2 linked regions of the Notamacropus eugenii genome follow. The protein of the gene in region 1 interacts with the protein of each later gene in a pairwise test. Links are inferred from orthologs where the notes say so. Each region holds a gene or a part of one and is shown on either strand. Other genes may lie near its edges.

Region 1 (3,746 bases):
TATATATGTAAATATATATTATATACATATATATTTTATTTAGATTGTGCTCCTCTGAGATGTTAGTAGCAGTTAAGAAACTTCTGAAACCTATGTAATTTTCTGAAGTATGTGCTGTATTGCAAACTGTCTCTTGACAATTATATTATCTTTAAGTAGAAAAGTTCACAAACAATTGGTTTTTTAATATTTTTCTTTTAAGATGCATGATAATCAAGTCTAACATGGCTATTTCAACTATATTACTTAAGAGATATTATGTCTACTACTTACCTCCTCTAAATTTAATGATATCCTTTACCAAGGAATGAATTCCTTCTCAAAAAGTTTTAACAAGTCTTCCAGTACTAGATTCTCTGTCCTATTTTATACTAAACAATTTCTGTTTCTAGTCTCATTTTCATAACACCACCAATATTTCCCAAAGTACCAGCTGGACCTAGTAATTTATAATACTTTAAAGTGGGGAGGGGGGATGGCATACGTTTTCTATTATTATGTTCTAATTACAACTGATTTTATAAGTATTATTTAATGGGGTTGTGAATGCCCCAATTCCTCTAGTCAGAAAAACTAAGGCTAGAAAAATGTTTAGCTTACTTTTAAACTAAATTAGGCTCTACAATCTGTTTAGAAGAGTGGGGAATTCGACCTCATTTTAAACATTTTTACATATTCTTTTAAGGATAAGAAAATAAAGTGAAAAAAACAAACTTATCCAATTAACTCGGTGCGATGGCATGTGGACTTTCCAAAGTGAACATTCATTCATTTCACATTTCATTCATTTCACATAAAGAAACTTACAAAGGTTATGACCTCTCTTTACCCATTCCCAGCCTTCATCCCTTGTCAATTTCAAAAAGTAGCAAACTGTCAATTTCATTTCTGTTGTAGTCATGCATTAAGAATCCAGTCCTTACCTACAACTCAGCTGCGGCAATATTAAAGTTCTCTGGAAACCCACATTTCCTTCACATGGGCAAGTGGGGAGAGCAAGGTGGTAATGCTGACTGTGCAGTTCGGCAGCAAACTCAAAAGAGTGGAGGAGGAGGGCAAGAGAGCCAGGTAAAATTGGTCTAAGTTACATACTGCAGGCATGCCCTGGGTTGTCACATCCAAAAATAATCTGGAGTTGGAAAACGACCTGAGATTTGTAACCCAAAACAGATAAACAAGAGGTTGCTATTTCTTAGAAAGGATTTAGCACTGTTTTAAAAAAAAGAAAAGCCAAACCGTAAAGAGCCCAACTCTGCCAGCCCTCAAGAACAAAACAAGAAGAGACCCTGAAAGTGGCCGAGACAAAGCTTGGGGAGGGAAGGGAGGGGGTTCTGCGAGCAGAAGGGCCAGGTCGGCCAAGTGTGCAAGGCGAGGGGGGGTGGGGGTGCGAAGAGGGGTGGAGACGGGAGGAGGAGGGGCCCGGCAGCTGCCAGGGATAGGCCGGAGATGGGCCCACGGGGTCAGAGGAGCCGAGCCGGGGCCCCTGCGCAGGGCCAGGCAGCGAGGAACGGTGATGGTGCGGCCGGGAGAAGCCAGCCAGCCCGCCCGCCCAGGAACTGGGGCGCTTGCGCACGAGACCGGCTTCCGAACTCTGTCCGGGGGCCGGTGGTTCGCGCTTCCGCCCAACCTCCCCCTCCCCCTGGCAAACCCCTCCAGCTCCAGTCCGGCGGCGGGGGGAGGGGGAAGAGGGAGGTTACAGGCCCCGCCTAACGTGCTCCAAAGCCAAACTACGCACCAGCCCCACAGGGGTCCGCAGGGCTAGTGGGGAAGGGGAAGGGGGAGGGGGACGGAAAACTCATTGTTTTCGGCCAGGCCAAGGTCAAGGTTTGGGGCGCAGCGGCTGCAAACCCAGCCCTCCTCCCCTCCCTTTCCTCCGCTCCCCAGGGTCCTAGACTGGAGAGAGGAGCAGAAAAGGGAAGTTTTCTGTCTCCCACCTTTGCCCCCTCCCCAGGTCCGGGCTGCCGTTTCTGAAAACAAAACAGACCACTCCATCCTGGCCGGGTGGTCCGGTAGGAAGACTGCGGAGCGTTCGGGGAGAAGCAAAAGCGCGGCGGGGGGGAACACACATACACACTCACTCACATAGACACACGCACGCACACGCACACACCCCCACCCGAGGAAAGTTCGGAGGCTGCCAGAAGAAGGAAGCGAGGCCCAGATTCAGGCTCCTGCCTCTCCCCCCGCCTCCGTGATAAAGGAGGAACAAGAAAGAACACCTTCTCTCCTTCCTCCGCCTCCCCCCAGCTTACACACTCTCACACATACGCACGCACACACTCACACACACACTCACACACACACCCTCCCGGGCCGCACCTGACACCTCCCGGAGAGCCCCGAGGAAGCCGCCCCGGGCTGGGTCGCTAACCTGGCAGAGAGAAGCCGTAGCGCCAGCGCCGGTAGAGCTGCGAGAGGACCACGAGAACGCCCATGTAATAGACCTTGAAGGCCGGGAGCAGCGGAGACAATAGCGACATGGCTGCTCCCTTCCTCCTCCTCCTCCTCTTCCTCCTCCTCTCCGCCGCGCAGACGGGAGGGGCGGCGGCGGCGAAGTCGGCCTCTCTCCGGGCAGGGACGGCCCGCTCGGCGGAGCCCACACCCAGCGGAAACGAGCGCCCCGCTCTTGCACAGTTCCGCTGGCGGCGGCGGTTCCAGAGCCTGGACGCGGGACCCAGACCTTCACCTTCAGCCCGGGGGCGAGGCCGGAGGAGGGCCGGGGCCCGGGCGCTCCCCACCCCGGCCCCGCCTCCGCCCCCCGGGGCTGGCTCGGGCCGCCCTGGCTTCCTCCAGGTCACCCCAAGTCCGCGCTCGCGAACCTGCCCCCTCCCCTCCTCCACCCCCGGAGCCCGATAGGGTGATTCTGGGCATTGGCCACCAAACAGTGGGGACCACCCCAACAGTGGGGACCAGCCAGCCTTCTTCTCTTTGGGTGTCGTTCCAGGAGACCAAAGAGGTGTTGGAAGTGGAGTTTGGGGGAGGTAGGCAGCCGTAAAGAGAAGCCAGGGGCTGAAGCTGAGGAGAAAGGTAGGGGAATGGGGTGCCGTGTGAAGGGCTGCCTTGGAAAGGTGGTCGCTAAGACGAGAAGGCCCTCTCCTGAGAGAGGGTCCATTGGACACGTCCCTTCAGCACTGGACCGACCTGAGGGCAGGGACTGTCTCTGTGCCCCTTTTGGTGTCCCCAGTGCTTAGCACAGTACCTGGCACATTGAGATCAAACCTCAGCCCTCTCCTTAGAGAGGGTCCATTGGACACGTCCCTTCAGCACTGGACCAACCTGAGGGCAGGGACTGTCTCTGTGCCCCTTTTGGTGTCCCCAGTGCTTAGCACAGTACCTGGCACATTGAGATCAAACCTCAGCCCTCTCCTTAGAGAGGGCCCAGTGAAGACATCCCTTCAGCACTGGACCGACCTGAGGGCAGGGACTGTCTCTGTGCCCCTTTTGGTGTCCCCAGTGCTTAGCACAGTACCTGGCACATAAAAGGTTAGTGACTGATTGATTGATTGAGATCAAACCTCAGCCCTCTCCTTAGAGAGGGTCCATTGGACACGTCCCTTCAGCACTGGACCGACCTGAGGGCAGGGACTGTCTCTGTGCCCCTTTTGGTGTCCCCAGTGCTTAGCACAGTACCTGGCACATAAAAGGTTAGTGACTGATTGATTGATTGAGATCAAACCTCAGCCCTCTCCTTAGAGAGGGTCCATTGGACACGTCCCTTCAGCACTGGACTGACCTGAGGGCAGGGA
Region 2 (3,746 bases), on another chromosome or scaffold:
GATCCTCAGTGGCAGAGTAGATAGAAAGCAGTATTTAAAGTCAAGAAGATCTAGGCTTAAACTCTGATATTAACCTCTCCCAGCCTCAGTTTCCTCATCTTTAAATGGTTATAGTCACTGCTCTTATACCACAGGGTTGCTGCGAAGGTCGGATGAGATAAGATGCCTAAAATGCTTTGCAAAGCTTAAAACGCTCTGTGAATGTTGGCGCTATCCATTACCGCAATGCTAAGCCTGGAACATCACTCATACGTGTGGTGTCCCCCGCTGCAATGCAGCTCCTTCAGAGCAGGGACCTTCTTGCTTTTCTTTTGGTATCTGCAGCTTGGTACTTAACACTTTACTTAATATTACGTACTTAGTACTTTGCACAGAGAAGGCACTTAATATCCTTCCTTCCATCCATCCACCCAAGCACCTACCCATCCATCTGTCCTTCCCTTTCTCCCTCCCTCCATCCACCTTTCCATCCATCTCTCCATCCCTCCACTTACTTACCCACTCCTCAATCACCCTTCCATCTACCCACATCCATTTACCCTTCTATCCATTTACCCATCTCTCCGTTCATCCACCCATCCACCCCTCCATCCATATCTCCCTTCCCTCACCCCTCCTTCCCAATGGTTCCTTTCTCCCCCAGCCAGGGAGGTGCCCGAGGTTGCACGGAGGGGGGAGGGGAAGGGGAGGAGGGAGCGAGCGAGCGAGCAAGCTGTTCATTCTCTCGGTCCTTTTCTCTTTCAGCCCAGGTGGGGCTGGGGAGCACTGATTGGCCGCCCGTAGACTAGAGGCGGGCCTCCTGCGGTTCTCGCGGTCGCTGATTGGTCGGGGCTAGTTTGCGCGTGCCCCCGACCGCGCGTTTCCCGCCCCCTTCCCCCCTCCCTCGCGCCGGCCAGAGGAGGGGGCTGGCAGCGGGTATCGAGAGCCGGAGTGCGGCGCAACGGTCGCCGGGGGCAGGCGCCAGTCTCGCTGTAAGTGGAGGAGAAGGCAGACCCTGACGGGCGGTCCCTCTCTGTGCCCTGGCCAAAAAAAAGAAAAAAAAAGAAAGAGGAAGAGAGGGAACCGCCGCGTGACGTAGACAGCGCGAGGAGACCTCGGGGAGGGGGAGGGGTAACTGCGGAGGGCGGGGGAGGGCCGCCCGCCAGGCCCCGCCCCAGGTATTGCCCCGCCCTCAGGCCTGGCCCTGCCTTTTAGGGGAGGAACCGACGCGAGCCGAGTCCCCACCCCATCACCCAGCCTGGCCCCGCCCCCAGCCTAGTTGCTGTCCGGGGAGCCCGGCTCTAGGGGTTATGGGGGGGAGGGCGGACTCCAGGAACTCCCGAACCCCAGCTTGCACCCCTGTAGCCCCTGAGATCACCTTAACATCCTGGCCCGGGAGCGAGAGGCCATGTCCACCTTCCTCATTTGATGGGTGGAGAAACAGGGACTTGTCCAAGGTCACACAGTGTGTCCAGCCGTGGGACCCTGGGTGAGTTGCTTCACTTCTGCCCCCCTCAGTTTGGCCCCAGCCTCCCAGGAATGTTGTGAGGATCACATGAACTATTTGTAAAGGCCTCTGCAAAGCTTAAAGTGCTAGGTAGATGTTAGCTACCGTTCTGCCCCCTGAGGTCCTGTGAATTTGTTTGTTTTAATTGGTGATATTGGTTTCCTTTGTAATCCTGTCTATTTTACTTACTGCATTTACAAATGTGATTCCGAGCATCACCAGACTGGTCATGCTGCCTCTCTGACTTAAGGATCAACCCCCTGACATTTTCCAGGTAAGGAAACTGAGGCCCAGAGAGGGGAAAGGATTTGACTGGTCGTCTCCCACCACAAATAGCAGAGGGGGCATTTGAACCCAGGTTTTTTGCTGTTGGGTTCTGGGACTCTTTGTCCCTTACTATCTATCCTAAAGGCCAGTGCCTTGGCTGGACTATGGAGATGAATAGAGAGCCCTGGAAATGCTTTTGTTGGGTTGAGGGTGAGGATTGTGGGAGGGCAGTGTTGGGGGTCTTCCTGGAGCTGGGTAATTTAGGCAGGAATTCTTGATCAAGTTATGAAGATTCAAATACTGTTGTTCTGCCCACTCTAAGGTCCATTCTCAGGCCTGGGAAACTGAGGCAGCTTAGTTTGGGAGCTCCTTTACTCAGCTTAGACTCCAGGAATGGTCAGCTTCCTGTTTGTTAGCTTTGTTTTTGTTACAGGGTCCTATTAGAAATATTGGCACCCTACAGTGAGTTCTGGGAAGGATGAAAGCATGTGTCATCCTGCTTGGGTCTCCCTGTGGCTGCCCAGGGGCTCAAGTTTCCTGTGCCTGTACCAGTAACTAAACATAAGAGCAACTGGTGACAAGAGGGGGTGTTGGAGACCTCTCTTTTGCATACATCTCTGGGTTTTGGGGACAGAAGAAGGGCTGCCGTAGGGCAGCTGGTCCTCACTTATTTGGATCCTGGACCCCTTTTGCCCAGTTTGGTGAAACCTATGGCAGCCTTCTCATGATCATGTTTGTAAATGCATGAAGTAAAATACAGAATATTACAATGGAAACCAATTAGATTGAATTAGAGTTATCAAAATATTTTTTAAAAACCAATTCACTGGACTCCCAGATTAAGAACTCTTGTCCTTGGGAGCAGAAATACGGCACTGAATTTTCTGTACCCCTCAGCCCATCTCCTACAGTTGTACTCTGTGAAATCACTGAATTTCATTCGCCAAATATTTGACAAACTCCTCCTTCAGGCAGGGCCTTGGGGATGCAAAGATAGATGACACAGGTCCTACTCTCTAGGAATTACAATTGAATAAGAGGAAGACAGCTCTCCCCACACCTGAGTGAGCTCTAGAAGAGAGAAGTGAGTGTGGAAAAGAGGGTAGGCAAAGTGCTGAGAAACTTGAGGAGGGTCAGTTCAGTTTCTGCTGAGGGTGGGTGGATGGCCAAGGGCAAGGAGGCTCCTGGAGGAAGTTCCCCAGGATTGCGCCTCTAGGGGGAGGCCATTTTAGGCATGGAGGACTAGATTGATGGGCAGCTTGGGGGAAGGGTCTTTTGGTCCTTCCTTTGGTGATGTGGTCTGAAAATGTGGGCTCACTGTGTGTAACTATGTGTGTATGTATGTTTGTATATACACACACACATATATATAGTATATGTGTGTATATGTGCATATATGCATCTATATATGTATATATACATGTATGTGTATACATATATACATGTGTATATCTATCTATCTGTCTGTCTGTCTATCTCTCTATCTATCTATATTCCTAAGGTGTTTGAGAATACTAACTAGGGAGTTCCTGGCTCTGCTGTGTGTGACTGCTTCCCGGACTTGGTGCTCTAGTACTGGGCCTGGAGTCAGGGAGACCTCAGTTCAAATCCTGCCTCAGACATTTAATAGCTCTGTGACCTGGGCCAAGTCATTTAACCCTCTGGCCTCTGGTTCTTCTTTCAGTAAACTAGAATTTCCAGTGAGGAAACCCTTCCCACACCAGTGCTGATGGACAACTGTTCTATATCCAAGGAGAGTTAGGTAGCTTTGGGATTTGAACTCAGGTCCTCTGACTCCAAATTCAGCACTCTCATCATTGCACCAGGATTCAGGCAGACAGAAAGACATTTCTCTGGATTGGGAAGTGGGTGGGAAGTGAGAAAGAGGAAAACACCAGGTGTTTCTCTAGTGTTTGACTGGACTGGGTTGGAGATAAAAGGTCAATAGCTTGAAGGATTGTTTTGCCTAATGAAGTTAGTTGGATTTTTTTTT

What was found. The genes of interacting proteins can lie anywhere in the genome.
Region 2: the proteins of ZBED1 (region 1) and LRRC20 interact in binary tests that used the Homo sapiens proteins (3 or more experiments, as listed by UniProt). The two-hybrid records come from large-scale screens. The link is inferred for Notamacropus eugenii from reciprocal best matches to the Homo sapiens genes ZBED1 and LRRC20.

The regions. Positions count from the first base shown.
Region 1 is NC_092876.1:395,061,127-395,064,872, reverse strand, and holds the start of ZBED1 (E3 SUMO-protein ligase ZBED1), read right to left. Parts: upstream 2,497-3,746; 5' UTR 2,481-2,496; coding exon of another isoform or gene 2,372-2,480; intron 2,341-2,371; exon of another isoform or gene 2,320-2,340; intron 1,130-2,319; exon of another isoform or gene 924-1,129; intron 1-923. Other genes in the region: DHRSX (polyprenol dehydrogenase), read right to left, coding at 2,372-2,480.
Region 2 is NC_092872.1:258,715,865-258,719,610, forward strand, and holds the start of LRRC20 (leucine-rich repeat-containing protein 20), read left to right. Parts: upstream 1-1,180; 5' UTR 1,181-1,289; coding exon 1,290-1,468; intron 1,469-3,746.